Linked DNA regions of Lonchura striata. The protein of the gene in region 2 interacts with the protein of the main gene of each other region in a biochemical or structural test. Links are inferred from orthologs where the notes say so. Each region holds a gene or a part of one and is shown on either strand. Other genes may lie near its edges.

What was found. The genes of interacting proteins can lie anywhere in the genome.
Region 1: the proteins of RAB8A (region 2) and SYTL4 form a complex in vitro, tested with the Homo sapiens proteins (2 studies listed by BioGRID). The link is inferred for Lonchura striata from reciprocal best matches to the Homo sapiens genes RAB8A and SYTL4.

Annotation. Positions count from the first base shown.
Region 1 is NC_134616.1:897,586-904,925, reverse strand, and holds the start of SYTL4 (synaptotagmin-like protein 4), read right to left. Parts: upstream 3,107-7,340; 5' UTR 3,068-3,106; intron 2,310-3,067; 5' UTR 2,272-2,309; coding exon 2,162-2,271; intron 2,023-2,161; coding exon 1,807-2,022; intron 1,302-1,806; coding exon 1,192-1,301; intron 1,034-1,191; coding exon 919-1,033; intron 759-918; coding exon 651-758; intron 400-650; coding exon 285-399; intron 179-284; coding exon 88-178; intron 1-87. UniProt on the Homo sapiens protein: Modulates exocytosis of dense-core granules and secretion of hormones in the pancreas and the pituitary. Interacts with vesicles containing negatively charged phospholipids in a Ca(2+)-independent manner.
Region 2 is NC_134630.1:4,669,342-4,676,966, reverse strand, and holds the start of RAB8A (ras-related protein Rab-8A), read left to right. Parts: upstream 1-4,624; 5' UTR 4,625-4,653; coding exon 4,654-4,777; intron 4,778-5,089; coding exon 5,090-5,150; intron 5,151-5,356; coding exon 5,357-5,417; intron 5,418-6,161; coding exon 6,162-6,239; intron 6,240-6,653; coding exon 6,654-6,743; intron 6,744-7,362; coding exon 7,363-7,428; intron 7,429-7,625. Other genes in the region: TPM4 (tropomyosin alpha-4 chain), read left to right, coding at 727-860, 1,082-1,199, 1,622-1,692, 1,913-1,988, 2,268-2,330, 2,416-2,485, 4,068-4,150. UniProt on the Homo sapiens protein: The small GTPases Rab are key regulators of intracellular membrane trafficking, from the formation of transport vesicles to their fusion with membranes.

The DNA of each region.
Region 1 (7,340 bases), on a different chromosome or scaffold from region 2:
GCCCCAGCCTCTCCCATCTGCACTGAAAGCCCTTCCCAGCCCAGGGAGGAGGAGCTGCCCACCCCTGGCCGTGTCAGCATCTCTCACCCGCAGGCCGCACCACCCGCCGGGGGTTCTTCTGGAATATCATTTCATGTTCATCCACCAAGGTGCTGCTGCGGGTCCCCACGGTGGCATCCTGGGAAGGAAGAGTCCCCTGAGAGCAGGGCAGGGCTAGGAGCCCTGTGGGGTGCCAGCCCCACGCCCCAGGACAGGGCTGAGCCTGTCGGAGCAGCGTCACGCACCCGCCCGTCAGAGAACGCGTTCTTGGAGCGGAGAGGGAGGGTCAGGCTGGAGGAAGCAGGTCCTGCTGGCCCAACAACCTGTTTTCCAGGGATGGCTCTCTCCAGGGAGTTCCTCCTGTGGCAAACACAGAAAGGTCTGTCCCAGACCACAAGCACAGCTGGCAGAGCAAGTGCTGGCCAGGAAGCGCCACTTGAGCTGCCCGTAGCAGCCTGGGAGCAGAGGATCTTCCTGCCCAGGGACAGGCTTCAGCCCAGCCAGAGGAGCCAGCTTCCCCCTACTAGACTGAGAAAAACACACTTCAGATGAAGGTCCCATCCTCTGCCAGCCAGTCTTGCCAAAGACAAGCCCCCCTGGGATCCTCTCACCTGCCGCCCACATCAGCAGGACTAGGTTTGTAGCTGTCCAGGCTCATGTTTTCCATGGACTCTGTGTCGCTTTTGCCATCCCTAGGGTCTGAGGCATCTGGAAACAAACTGCAGACAAGCAAAACCACAGGTATGTCCTGTTTGGTGAGGAGGTCGGTCTGAGAGAGCTCCTGCACCACCGATGATCCGCACAGGGCAGAGCTTCCTCTCAAACCTGCAGCAGATGAGAGCTGCTGCCTGGAGCACGGGGGACAGCAGGGATTCCTACCTGGACCCCTCCCGGGGTGCAGGGGGGCTCGGCTGCCGGACTGCAGAGGAGCTTTTAGGCTCACTGAGCTGGGCTTTCTGGAGGAGAGTATATCCCACAGTCTCTCTTTTGTTGGCTGCAAGAGAGGCATCATGAGGAGCACTGCTCCAAGCTCACTGCTTGGAGCAGGAGCTGCTCCCATCCAGCTCCACACTGGGCAGAGATGCACTGGGGAAAGCTGGAGCATCCCACGTGGCTGGGCTGTGGGAGAAGGCCTTGCTGTGGCACCCCTACCTGCCGGCCTGTGCCGCAGGGACAGCCGCACCATGTCGCTGCCCAGGTGGTTGGCAAAGCGGTTCACCCTCTGGTCATAGAACCAGTCACCCGTTGCCTTCTTCAGCTCACTGCAGGGCAGGGGTGGTGGGGGCAGTCAGGGGCAGTAGGGACTGTCAGCTGTGCCCCAACCCACCCTCGGTGCTGCCACAACCCGAGAACACAGGCACAGTGGGCAAAATCAGCAGGTGACTGGGCAGGGACCATTCACCGGGCAGTTGACAGGCTCAGCTACATCCTCAGCAAACACGGCAGCAAGGCAAGTTTTGTAGGACAGAGGAAGCCAAAAGGGAGGAAGCCTGGGGTGCTTGGAACACAGCTGTGCAAGGGCACAGGGGGATGCTGCAGTTAGTTCAGGTGAAGGAGCAGGACATGAAGGAGACACAAGAGAGGGGTATGACCCATTTTTCCATCACCCAAACACAGGAGTGACAGCAGAGCAAGCTGCCCTGCACTGGGGAGGACCAGCCAGGCTAGGAAAGGCTGGCTATGGGGCAACAAGTTGAGGCAACTGAGAGGAGGAAGGGGAAAGGAGGCATGTGCACAATGTGCCTGCCACTGGTCCTGGCTACTCACGCCTCCTTGGTGCAGACTTTGCAGCGCCAGGAGCCGCCGGGGCTGTAGGAACGGCAGTCCCGACACACCAAGTGGTTGCAGCCCCGGCAGGTGTTGGCCTTGGGGCTGACGCGGCCCAGGCTCTGCTGGCAGCGGGCGCAGGTCCGCTCGCTGTAGCGCTGGCTGCCCCGCTTGGCTCCCTTGCGCCGGATCTCCAGCAGCTCGTTCTTCAGGCGCCTGCCCAGAGCCGACACCGGGAGCTGTCAGAGGCGCCCCGGGACCCCGGCGACACCCGTCACCCACGCTCTCGCTCATCCACCCGCCTCCAGAGCATAGCGGGGAGGCAGCTCCTGCCCAGCTCCAGCCGCGTTCGCACCTGATCCTCCTCTCCTCTGCCTTGCGGAGCTCCTCGTCGCGCTGCAGGACCTGCAGGATCAGATCTCTCTCCACGTCCGACAGGAAGGACAGGTCCACAGCCTCCGACATCGCTGCGCCCGCGATGGCTGGCCCTCAGCGCACGCCAGCTAGGGACATGCCAGCTGCTGAGCGCGGGTCGCGCCCCGCGAGGTGCCCCGTGCCCGCTGCCGGGGCTGGACCCGGCGCTGGCGGCACCCAGGACACCGGCCCGCCCGCCGCCTCCGCCGCCCTGCCCCGGGCTGGGCTCGGGCCGCCTGCCAGCCCCGCCGCCCCGCTGACCTCAGCCGGCTCCGTGGGACCGGGCTGACGCGCAGCACCCGCGGGCAGCCCCGGCAGGAAGGAGCCGCCCCGGGCCGCCCCTCCCACGAACGCCGCGGGGCTCGGAGCTGCCCGAGCCCGAGGAGCCGCCGGGAGCGGACACGCACCAGGGCGGCACGGCCGGATCCGGCTCGCAGGCGGCGGCACCAGGAGCCGGGCGGCCGCGGCCGCTCCAGCCGGGACGGAGCCGCGGCGCTGGCTCGGGGGCTGCACCGCTCCCCGCTCCCGCCCGGCCCGGCGGAACCGGCAGGGACCTTCCTGTGCCCGCAGCCGCGCTCCGGCGGCCCTCGGGGAGGAGGGGGCGGCGGGGCGGACCCCAGGCTCCTCTCTGTCGGGAAAAGTGGGATCCGGGGCCGGGAGCGCCGCGTTCGCAGCGCGGCCACCGGGGCTGGGAACTGCCCCCGCCCGGGACACCGCGGCTGGACCGCCGGACCACAGAGGGACCCCTGGCTACCCCCGACTCCCCTGCAGCCGAGGGACCCCCGTCCTGCCCCGTCCGCGGAGGAACCCTCGGTACCCCCGCCCGATCCCACGACCGTCCCGGTACCTGCAGCGGCTCCGGCCGGCGCCTCCCGGCAGCGGGAGGGGACAGCGGCAGCGGAGGGCGGCGCCGGTGCCTTAAAGGAGCCGCGGCGGCCGCACCTGCGGCACGGACGGGGCGGCCCGTGCGGGAGGCGGTGCCCGCTCCCTCCAGCCCTTCCCCGCCCGAGCAGCCCCGGAACAGCTGCGGCTCCAGCCCCGCGGGCCGGTGTCCCCGGTGCCCCATGGCCCTGACTGGGTGGGTGGCTTCTCCCGACGAGCAGAGAGCGCACCGACACCCGAACTGCGGGGGACTCCCCGGCGTGCCCGCGGAGCAGCCCAGGGCCGCGGCCGTGGCGTCCTCCCGCCGCAAGGCTCCGGCCCTGCCCTTGTCCTTCGTGGCAGAGATACCGTCCCCGCAGGGCGCCTCGTCCCTGCCCCCCGCAGCACAGCACCGGGGAGCCCGAGCACTCGCGGCTGGCCGAGGCGTGGGGCTCCACCCGCGGGGAGGCGGCTGCTCGCCACGCAGGACAGCGCGGAGCCACCTGCGTGCAGCCCCAAGGCAAACGAGAGGACGCGGCTCTGCCCTCGCTTTCGGCCGCGCCCCAGGGATGGGAGAGCCGGAGGCTTCCAGCCCTGTGGGAAGTGATGGGACACTGATAGTGGAAAAAACCACGGAGACATCAAAGGGCCAGCGGGAACTTCCTTGTGCGGCAGGGGTTCGCTCCATCGGGAGTACACAATAAATATGCAGAGGGCTTTGGGCTTGCAGGAAGACAATGCCACAGAGGCTTTGCTCCCTGAGCCCCTCCGCACACCACCCTGGGACCCAAAGTCCCCAGGCCAGACCCCCATGCTTGCTCCAAAGTTCACGTTTTGACTGGACACCAAGAGGTGGTGAGAAACATCTTTATTTCTGAAAAAAAGATAGGAAGGAAACAGGATGAACAGACTTGCTTCAAGTACATTAAAAAAGCATGCTGCTAAATACAAGCACCAAGCTTGTCCCTGACTTGCCGAAATGAACCCAGCAGGAACCCAAGGTTTCTCAGCACTGTGGCTCTCTCCTGTGTGAAAATGGGGCTCAAGGTGCTACCACGTGTCCAAGACCTGGGCAGCAGCTGGCAGAGCCAGGACAGAACACTGGCAGTCTGCACTCCAGCTTGCTCCATCTTTGTCTGGATCATGAAGGGATCTGCCGTGTGGAGCACAACCCTGGGTGCCCTGGCACAGGGAGGCACTGCTGGGCAGTGCTGCCACCTGGGAACTAGGGAACATAAGGCACATCCAGGCTGGCAGCAGGACACACTGGCAGCATGTCTCTGCCCCTCGTGCTTTGACACCAGCCTTCCAAGGGATCTGGAGCCCCAGCGGTGCCCATGTCCCGCTAAACGGGCAGCACAGGCCGGCACTCGAGGTCCAGCACGAGGTGATGCACGTGTGGTGCGTAGGACTTCACTGCCTCGATGTGCAGGATGCTGCAGCACCACGGCCGCCCGTGCAGCTCTGCCAGCAGCCCCTGGATCCGTGCGGCCGTGGCTGCAGCCCACCGCTGCCACTCGGGTCTGAGCCTGGCCCCCAGTGCCTCCTGCTCACTGTGCTCCACCGGGTGCCACGCCTCTCCCGCGGAGCTGGCTGCCTCTGCGGAGCCCCGCTCAGCCAGCAGCACCGCGGCGTGCGCCGGGCGAGCCTCCACGTTCTGGTGGATGTGCAGAACCCCGCCCGTGTCCTTCTTCAGGACGCGGCAGGCCACCGGCCAGCCTTCCTCCGAGCTGGGAAGCAGCCCCAGGTTCACCCTGTCCGCCACATCGCGCAGCTGCAGCTGGGAGGAGAGCGGAGGTGAGGGGATGCCCGCGGGAAGGGCTCCCGCGGCCGGCGGCAGCGCTCACCTGCCGGCTGTCCCCGCCGTGGATGCGGCAGCGGTCCCGCACCCCGTTCAGCACCAGGCTCCTGTGCAGGGCCTCCACGGCGTGGCTGTTCCACTCACAGGCATGGACAAAGGCGGCTCCCGCGTGCACCAGGAACGGCAGCGTGAAATAGCCGATGCCTGCAGGCAGGAGGTGGCACTGACTGGGGACAGGGACCTCCAGAGAGCCACACTCCTCCCCGAGGGCAGGGCAGGATGCACACTGACACCCTGCCTCTCCAACTCGGCTTTGCTCTGGGTTGGAAAAAGCCCAAACACTGGAAAAATGGGAATTTATCCCTCCCTCTTGTGCAAAAGCAAATTTTGCCTTGAAAAATGTTTAGAGGAGATTATTTAACCTTCAGTCTTTGGCCACCAGGCTGAGATCTGTCTGGCTCTGCAGAAGTGTCCAGATTACCATTTCTTTTGATTAATCCACAGGAGTTTTGTGGGTGGCATTGTCCTTTCAGTGTGGCACAAATTGGAAGCACTAACTTCCTTAAGCACAAACAGTGGCAAATCTTTACCCTGGATCAAAGTGATTCCCCAAACCAGCACAAGGCACAGAGCCTGAGAACAGGACATCTTAAGTGTCCAGAGGCTGCAGGGACACAGGCAGGACAGCAGTGCCAGTGTAGCTGAAGGCCTCACAGACAAGATAGGAGCTCTAAGCCTGAGTATTTTTCATTCCAAGCTGGAAATGACATTTCCTGTCTACCTGGATGCCATCAGCACCTGTCCTGCTCCTCCTCCGTCCCCATTACCTGCATAGAGATCCACTACGACCTCCCCGGAGCAGGGCAGTGAGGCCACACGCAGCTTCTCCGTGATGTTGCCCGGGGAGAACATGCACTTGGTCACATCGAAGGTGTACCTGGAAGACCCGGCCCAGATGGTGAGGGCAGCCCCTTCCCCAGAAGCCGCATCCTGCATCTCCTGCCCACCTGATGCCGTTGTCCACGCGCTCCACCCAGCCGTGCTGGCCCAGCAGCAGGGTGACGCTGGGGGTCCGCATCCCGTCCGGCATCACCCGTCCTCGCCTGGCCACCCGCCGGGCCCCCAGAGCCGAGGCCACCGTCTCCCAGAGCTCCGGGCCTGCAACACAGCACCCCGGGAGGCGCGGGCAGTGAGACACAGTAAAAATTTAACAGAGCAGAAATTCGTTTAGATTTAAGTAAAATGCACTCCTTTGAGCTTACTAACTTAAGTGAAATATGTTATTTAGTCTAGTAACTACAGCACTAGCAAAGTTGTCTTAACTAAAGAAGAGATAAGAAAAACTCCTCAGATTTAAAAAGCAGAGTAACCCAAAAGTTTTCTATACCTTCTAACAAAAACTAAGTAGAAGTGTAACTAACTGTAAATATAACACAAAATCAGCAGAATGAATATGCATGAACCTATTGTAAAATTCTATGCATGCAGGAAATTACCTCGACTAGAATTTTCATAATAATTTTTATTACCCTGACTAGAAATTAGTCATGATAATAGAAAAAGATAAGAGTTTTCAGAAGTGTGCATGTCCATTAAAGGGCATCCACAACACTGTGAATAAACACACCGTTGCCTACGAATCTTTGTTAGCATTGTAGGGTTGGATTTTTCACCCGTGTCCCAGCGCTTACCCAGGCGCTCCCAGGCCGGGTGGCTGAAGCTGTCCTCGCTGAGCAGCACCAGGTCGCCGTGGCGCTGCCAGGCGTGCGGCAGGTCCCGCTCCAGCTCGGCGGGCCAGCCGGCGGGCAGCAGCCGCCGCAGCTCCTGGAGCAGCCTGCGGGCCGGCGGGCGGCGGCGGGCGGCCCTGGAGGGGACAGCATCCTGCGGCAGGGCCGTGCCGCGGGGGCCCGGGGCTCAGACAGCGCCCGGGGCTCGCAGCCGGCCGGCTGTGCCAACCTGGATCCGGAGCAGCTCACAGGGCATCTCCGCGGGCAGGCAGAGCTGCGACAGCTTCTCCTCCAGCACGGGCACGGCCACGCGGCCGCCCGGCAGCCGCTGCAGCCGGTAGCGCCCGTCCAGGAGCCGCTCCTCTTCCAGGCATTCCCTGCGGGGAGAGGCCCTTCAGAGCCCGCGGCTGGCCCCGGACAGCACGGGGACCGCTGCCCCCATCGTGCCGGAGCACAGGCCCCGCTGCCCTCGCTGCCCCGGGCCTCACCTGAGGCGCTGGGCGAACCTGCGCTCCGTGGCCAGCGCGGGCACCTCCGCGGCTGCCATCCTGCCGAGCCCCGAGCGGGGTCAGGCCCGGCGGGGGCTGTGCCCGAGCGGCATCCCTGAGGCCGAGGGAATCCCCGAGGCCGCTCCCGGTGCCGGCGATCCCCGAGGCCGCGGCAGCCCGTTCGCGTCCCGGGCAGTCCGTTCGCAGTCCCGGGCAGTCCCGTTCGCGTCCCGGGCAGTCCGT
Region 2 (7,625 bases):
CAGTTTGTCCATGTTGTCTGTATCGCATTTCTCCCAGCAGTATCTTCCTTTTATTAACTAGTCTATTTCTTATACACATTAGTGGTGTTCCAATTACTGTGCAGTTTATTCAGCAATACACAAACAGATCTTATTACTGAGAAATGCGCCCTGCCTAATCCCTTATGTACCACAGGAAGCAAAGTTATATCAGCAAAAATCAGATATATTTTAAGAATATATCTGATTTTGTCCCAAAAAAGCCTGAGGTCAGTGTCTGTGCCCAGCTGACCACGTAGATTCTCCGGCAGCCAGGATGGATCAGGAGCTGGCTCCAGCTTCACAGCGAGCTGTGACAGGGCGCCACTGAAACCAAGGGCAGAGAAACCAACGGTGAAGGTTTTGGAACTAAGCCATCGTGGAAACAGTTCATTTTTTGAATTTGAATAGATGCAGCCCTGTGAAGTGCTCCAAAAATACCCCGATCCTTTTGCAATCATGTAGATTTCCTTTTTGTGTGGCAGGAATGATAAGTGCCATTAAAAAAAGAAAGGACAAGCACACACTCCATACCTTGACATTCCTGAAATGCCAGAGTTTAAGCAAACAAAAAAGCAGAGGCAGAAGGGCCCCTGAGCTGCCCTGCATGTCCCAGGGAGATGCTGCTGAAGTTGTAGGGAAACTGATTCACTGGGGGCATGTGCCAGCAGCAAGTGCCCTGTGTGACCCTGCTCTGGTTCCACGCAGGCTGAAGGGGAGGTGGCAGCTCTGAACAGACGCATCCAGCTCGTGGAAGAGGAGTTGGATCGTGCCCAGGAACGACTGGCCACAGCCCTGCAGAAACTGGAGGAGGCTGAGAAAGCAGCAGATGAGAGCGAGAGGTACGCTCCTTTTTTATTTTCTGTTGTGTGTCATTAAGTATCTGCATGTGCTACTGCAGGGCAGAGACTTGAAACTTTTTTACAAGCTTGATTGGGTAATTCTGTTAGCCTTGATGAACACGATGGGTCACTTTTAGGCTACAAATCTCAAATTCCACTTTGTGAAGTTGAGATACAAGTGCCAAAATACTTCTCAGTTAAACATGCTTTGATTTCTGCAGAGGAATGAAGGTTATTGAGAACAGAGCAATGAAAGATGAAGAGAAAATGGAAATTCAGGAAATGCAGTTGAAGGAGGCCAAGCACATTGCTGAAGAAGCCGACCGCAAGTATGAGGAGGTAAAAGGGAGAAGGAAATGGTGAAAGCTGTGGGAGAGCCATGAACAGTAACACTGCTCTTCAGTCTAGTCCCTCTGTTCAGTTGGCACTGGGCGATGCTTCAACCTTGCAACATTGCCAGCAAGGAGGAATTTTAATAGTGATTTGCACTCCTTAGGTACCTAATGCAAAAAATACTGCAAAATCTAACTAATTGGGGAGGGCTGTTACCTCTGTGGGTGCATGCTTTAACCTAATTTCCTTACTCCAGAGGAAGCAGGAACAGAGTACTTCTGAGTGCTTTCTGAAATCTGCAAGGAAGTTGTCCCAGGCTGTGGCAGGGGGTGGAACTAGATGATTTTTGAGGTCCCTCCCAACCCAGGCCGTGCTGTGATTTTGCAAATTGCACACTGGCCTGACAACTGGCTGTTGTCTTTTTACAGGTTGCCCGTAAACTGGTTATTTTGGAGGGTGAACTGGAAAGAGCTGAGGAGCGTGCAGAGGTGTCTGAAGTGTGAGTAACTTTCTAGAATATAGGAAATACCAACACTACATTTCAATAAAAATAATCTGGTAGGCAGGCATGTAGTTAGTACTTGCAGAAAAGTCTGTTTGCACACTGCATACCTGGTTTTCTTCTTTCACACTTAATTACTTCCTCCCTTGTATTTCTTAGACTCCTCCAAATCATAACAGGAACACCAGTAATTCATACTTCTATTTTCTCCTTCTAGTAAATGCAGTGACCTCGAAGAGGAGTTAAAGAACGTCACAAACAACCTGAAATCTTTGGAAGCTCAATCTGAAAAGGTTGGTTCTTTCAGTAAACTAAAGGATATGGGCAAAGCCTAAACTTGTAAATAGAATTCACAGAAATAAACCAGAAATAAAAAGCAGATGAGAGGTTTACCTGCCTGCCTGTGGATACCACTCCAAACAATCCTGAAGGTCTGCAGGAGAGCAGAAAAGCACGGAAATGGTGTTTGCAGCTGTTGTAAAAGGAAGAGTGCTTATAAATAGGTCACAGTTTCATAAACATTTATTATTGTTGCTACAATTTCCCTTAAAGAGTGTTTATTGTTTTCACAGTACTCGGAAAAAGAAGATAAATATGAAGAAGAAATCAAGATTCTCTCTGACAAGCTGAAAGAAGTAAGTTTGGCCACCCCCATGCTGGATGCATCTTAGGGCATAATCTTTCTAGGAGCATCCAGTGATGCTGTTTCAACTTTTTTAGGCTGAAACTCGTGCAGAATTTGCAGAGAGAACTGTTGCCAAACTGGAAAAGTCTATTGATGACCTGGAAGGTATGGAATGAGTCAAGTTTCTTTAAAGGTGGTCAGTTTAAAATCAGAAAACAAATTCTAGGAGTTGGGTGGTGGATGTAACGGGAAAGAACAGCAGCATTGGTCAGGCATATTGGTGGATGGGTGTGATGTGTCCACTGGGCACCTGCCCTGTGTGGTGGAAGTTCTCCTGAAAAAGGTTTTCTTCCATAAAGTTGGTAACAATGACCTGATTTTGGCCAACTAACAGATGGAGGGACTCAAGGGCTCACGATCCCCACCCTACTTAATCTGAAAACAATAATGAGATTACAAAAAGACAAAAAGTTCACATAGGTGAAACTTCTGACCAGGCAGCTTGGCGGGTGTTTTGCTTTCCTTCTGATACTCAACTACGCTTCTGTTTTCTTCTTTTGTTTTCCTCCCCAACTGCTTTGGCTGCTGTTGCTTTTGCCTGTCTCCGTTCTCCTCCTGTGGCCTCTTCTCTTGCCTGCATTTCTTGCTGCCTGTTCCTGCTGCCCTGGTGCTGACAGACGAGCTCTATGCTCAGAAGCTGAAGTACAAAGCCATCAGTGAGGAGCTGGACCATGCCCTCAACGACATGACCTCTTTGTGACCCGCCCCTGCGTGGGGACACGGCCTTCCGCTCACTGTGTTTTCTCAAGCTTTTCTTGCCTGTAATCCCTGTCACTCCTGTGCCACTTCCACCTCTGGGAACTGAGCTCAATAAAACATGATACCTCTACTTTTCATCTTGCAGGGTTTACTTCTGTGTAGATCACCTCAAATACAGTGGTGGCAACACCAAAAACACATTCAGCTGTATTGTTAATGTAGGCGAACCCAATGGGAAGAAATTACAATGTCTGACTCAATTTAGAAGGCTGAATGATTTCTTTATTATAACTATGTTAAAATACATTAATATGCTATATAAAAGCAGGATACTAAAACTCCATACTACTTTCTCTGACTCTAACTCTCTCACAACTCGTGACCCTCTCTGAGAGTGCAGCCCCAGGTGGGTTGGATTGGCCACCAGGCTCAAACAATCCTCACAGAATCCAACCAAGATCTCACCCCAGGTAAACAATTCTCCAAACACGTTCCAAATAGGAAAAACAAGGAGCAGAAATAGAAATTGTTTTCTCTTTCATTTCTCTCTGTGCACCTCTATGAAAAATCCTGAGAGGGAGAGAAATGTGCTCGCCACACAGCTGCTCGTGTGGGGTTGGGCAAGACATGGTCAGGATGGGGCAAACACTTGAATTTTGGTGTTCCCTTTAGTCAGTGAAAAGCTTTGAGTGCACTCAGTGTCTGCTCGTACTCCACCAGCCTGGTTAAAAACCTCTCACTCCAAGGAAAAGCCAGCAGGATGTGGCCTATAAATGACACAGTGACACATTAAAACACAGGTCTGACATGTTCCATGAGATGTGTCCAAAAAACTCCCTTAGGGATAGCAATTACAAAAAAAATGGCCCTGTTTTGATGATATAAAAGTGTCTTAAATATGAAGGTAAGTTACCCCAGGTTTTATTTAAAGCAAAAAGGCTAGAAAATAACATTATTTAAATCTTGTGCTTTTCTCCTTTCTCACCAGAAAAACTTGCTCAAGCCAAAGAGGAGAACCTGGGCTTGCACCAGACACTGGACCAGACACTAAACGAACTGAACTGTATATGAGTGGCTCAGCGCTGCCAGCAGGCGCCACCTGCCCCTGCCTCGCTCCTTCCCCTCTCTCTCTGTATCCCGGACAAGCCACTTAAGTTATGCCCGGCACAGCCGCACCGCGGGCCCCGGGCATCCCTGGGGGCCGGGGAGCCGCGCGGCCGTGCCGGGGCCGTGGCTGCTCTCACGGTTCCTCTGTCCTTTGGTGTAAGCCCCGGTGGGAGCTGCACCCGAGCGGCGCCGCCCCCGCTGCCGTTTCTTATTAAACAATTTCTCACAGTACCGCGGCTTCTTGAGGATTCTTGTACCGCTGGGGGTGTGACGTCACGGTGCGGGCAGGTACGGGATGACGTCATTGTGTTACCGCCGGGAAATGACGGGACACCGGAGGGGGGGGCCGATAGCCAATCGCAGCGCCGCTTACATCCGTCTCAGGTCCGCCAGCCAATGGCGGGCCGGCTCCGTGCGCTCTCCGCCGGGCTGGGCCAATGAGCGCGTGGCGGGCGGGGCCCACCAACATGGCGAAGACCTACGATTACCTGTTCAAGCTGCTGCTGATCGGCGACTCGGGCGTGGGCAAGACCTGCGCGCTCTTCCGCTTCTCCGAGGACGCCTTCAACGCCACCTTCATCTCCACCATCGGTGAGCGCCGCCCGGCCGCCATCCCCGCCGGGCCGCGTCCCGCTCGGGGCTCGGGCCGCGGGAGCCGCGGGCGGGCCCGGGGCTCGGGGCTCTCCGCCGGGCTCGGGGCTCTCCGCCGGGCTCGGGGCTCTCCGCCGGGCTCGCAGCCGTGGCGGGACACTCCAGACCGGGCCGGCGCCAGACCTCCCCGGAGCGGCCGGTGCCGGGAGGGAGCACTGAGGGACGCCACACCGAGCAGCGGGATTGAGGGCAAAGCCTTGGATTTGGCCGTTGGGCGGGAGCTGGGAGTAAAGAAATTGGTTTTCCTTTCAGGAATCGACTTTAAAATTAGAACGATAGAGCTCGATGGCAAGAGAATCAAGCTGCAGATCTGGTAAGGCTCCTGTGCTGCAGTCAGCGTCTGATCGCTGGGGCTGTGTGCTGTGCGTGGGGAGGTTCGGTTCGGTTCCTATGCGGTTGTGCTGCTCTGTGGTTTATGGTGTTTTAGAAGCCAAAAGGCAGCTCTGAAGAGTGCTTCAAATTAACTGAAGGCTTTTGTGGTGTTAACTGGAACTGAGCCCCGTGTTGTGTCTGTTGCAGGGACACAGCTGGGCAGGAGCGGTTCCGGACCATCACCACCGCCTACTACAGGGGAGCCATGGTAGGGGCAGCTCGGGGACAGGGGGGACAAACCCAGCTGGCTCTGACACAGAACACTCACAGCTCTGCTCCAAGTGCTGCTGGAGCTGTGCTGGGATGTTGGATAATACCATTTTCTTGACTTAGAGATGGGGTAACTGAGCGGTGTTTCAAAAACTTTCATTTCATTTCAGTCTCATGAGAAGGGTGAGACAATACAGATGTTATAATTCACACCATCACAATCAGAAGCCAACTATTTCCTCATTACAATGCACTATAAGTGTTTCTTGGCTTCCCAACTTTTTACCACACCGTGTTGTAGATACATTAAAACCAATCATCTAAAACTACCTCTCACAGGTCCCACTACAATATATTTTCTTTAATTCTATTTCTCCAAAGTATCTAGTCTTATTTACAAAACCATATTTTGAAACTTTTTTCTAGCTCAATTTCTCTCTCAACAATATTCTATTCTATAGTATTTCTAAGTCAGCATTTCTTATCTCAAAGTTTGCATTATGTGTGAGCTTTCTGTCAGGCCCTGAGAACTCTCTACGAATCCATTTCCCACACTGGGATGATCTGGGACTTTGGAAAGGCAGCTTCCTCCATGTTTCACTCTATAAATACATGTCCTGCACACCTTATCTCACTGCCATTAGCTGGGAACCAGTTATTAAAAATAGCCACTGTTGAGTTGCTCCTCTCTGCTGTGGATAAACCTTTAACTCCTGCTGAAACAGTCTTTCTTTACCTTTAGGGCATTATGCTAGTGTACGACATCACCAATGAAAAGTCTTTTGAAAATATTCGGAACTGGGTGAGGAATATTGAAGAGGTAATTTCTCTCTTTACTTATTACTGACTGTTAAAGGTGTCATTTCTTCCCATGAAAATAATTGCTTCAGAAGCATTACATTTTCTCATGTGCTGCAGGGAACTTGGAAGATAAGTGGGATGGAAATCAGTAAAAGCTTTTGGAATGCCTTGGCTGACAGTGCTTTGTTGTGAGGGCTGTAGCCCCTGTACTTCTGAGGGCACCTAATGTGACAATTTCCTACCACAACAATTGATCCAAGAATTGCCATGGTGCAGGTTACATCCTGGGAAGAAGGGTTGGGGGAGCCTGGAAATCTGGGGAAGATTCTCAGGACTGGCATCTCTGTGTTGGGTACTCAGTGGGTGCCTCACCTGTCTGACAATGTTTGTCTACAAAAGCCAAGCCTGAGTTTCTGGTCTGTGTTTGTCTCAGCACGCTTCTCCAGACGTTGAAAAAATGATCCTGGGGAACAAATGTGATGCAAATGACAAAAGACAAGTCTCTAGAGAGCAAGGGGAGAAGGTAAGTGCCGTGGCTTTGATGTATTTTGACTTAGGCTTTTCAGAGTCCAAAACCTGGCCTGCTGACTGTCTGCACGTGCCATGGTACCCCTGTGGTGTTCCTGAGTGCAGTGCCTGAGCATTCCCCAAGCTGCCATGGCAATGCTTTCCCCCACTGGCATCAACAGCAGAACCTGTGTTAAGTATTCTTATCAATTATCTAACAGATGCAAGGCAACCAGCAGGACTTCTCTAAAAGGATGCTAGAGTTGGACATGGATAAATGTCTGTTTTGGCTGAAAGCCACTGAGACAAGGTAGATGGGATTGTCTTTTCTGATGTCAGATGTTACTTAGGCGAGGCAGAGATTTTTTCTGCACTGTGGTTGTTACAAGACTGACAAGGTATCTATGCAAGAAACGAAAAAGAGCAACCTAAAAAGTGTGCAGAGTGTAAAAGAGCAGAGCAAAGACAGTGAGAACAGATGCCAACTGCAGTGGGATTTAGTTCCTAATTTTTGTTCTGCATGAGTAAATCCCCAACTCCACTGCTGGTGGCAGCAGGGACAGATGCTGTGCCCAGGACTGTGTTTGGAGCTGTTCCTGCAATTGTTCAATAATGTGCAATATGCTTTTGTTCAGCTTGCTGCAAGTTTCGGGATTAAATTCATGGAGACCAGTGCAAAAGCAAATATAAACATAGAGAATGTAAGTACTGCTGCCTTTCTCTTGTATTTCTTGTCCTCTTTGTGCAAACCAGCAGTGTGGGATGCAGAACTCCATGGTTGGGTTGTTGAGCACTTTCCTGCAGCAGAGACCCTGGCTGGGGGTGGCAGTGTGGCTTTGGGGCTCAGAAAGAAGGTTGTGGAGCTAGAGAAGGAGCATTGAAACCTGGAGCAGAGAGG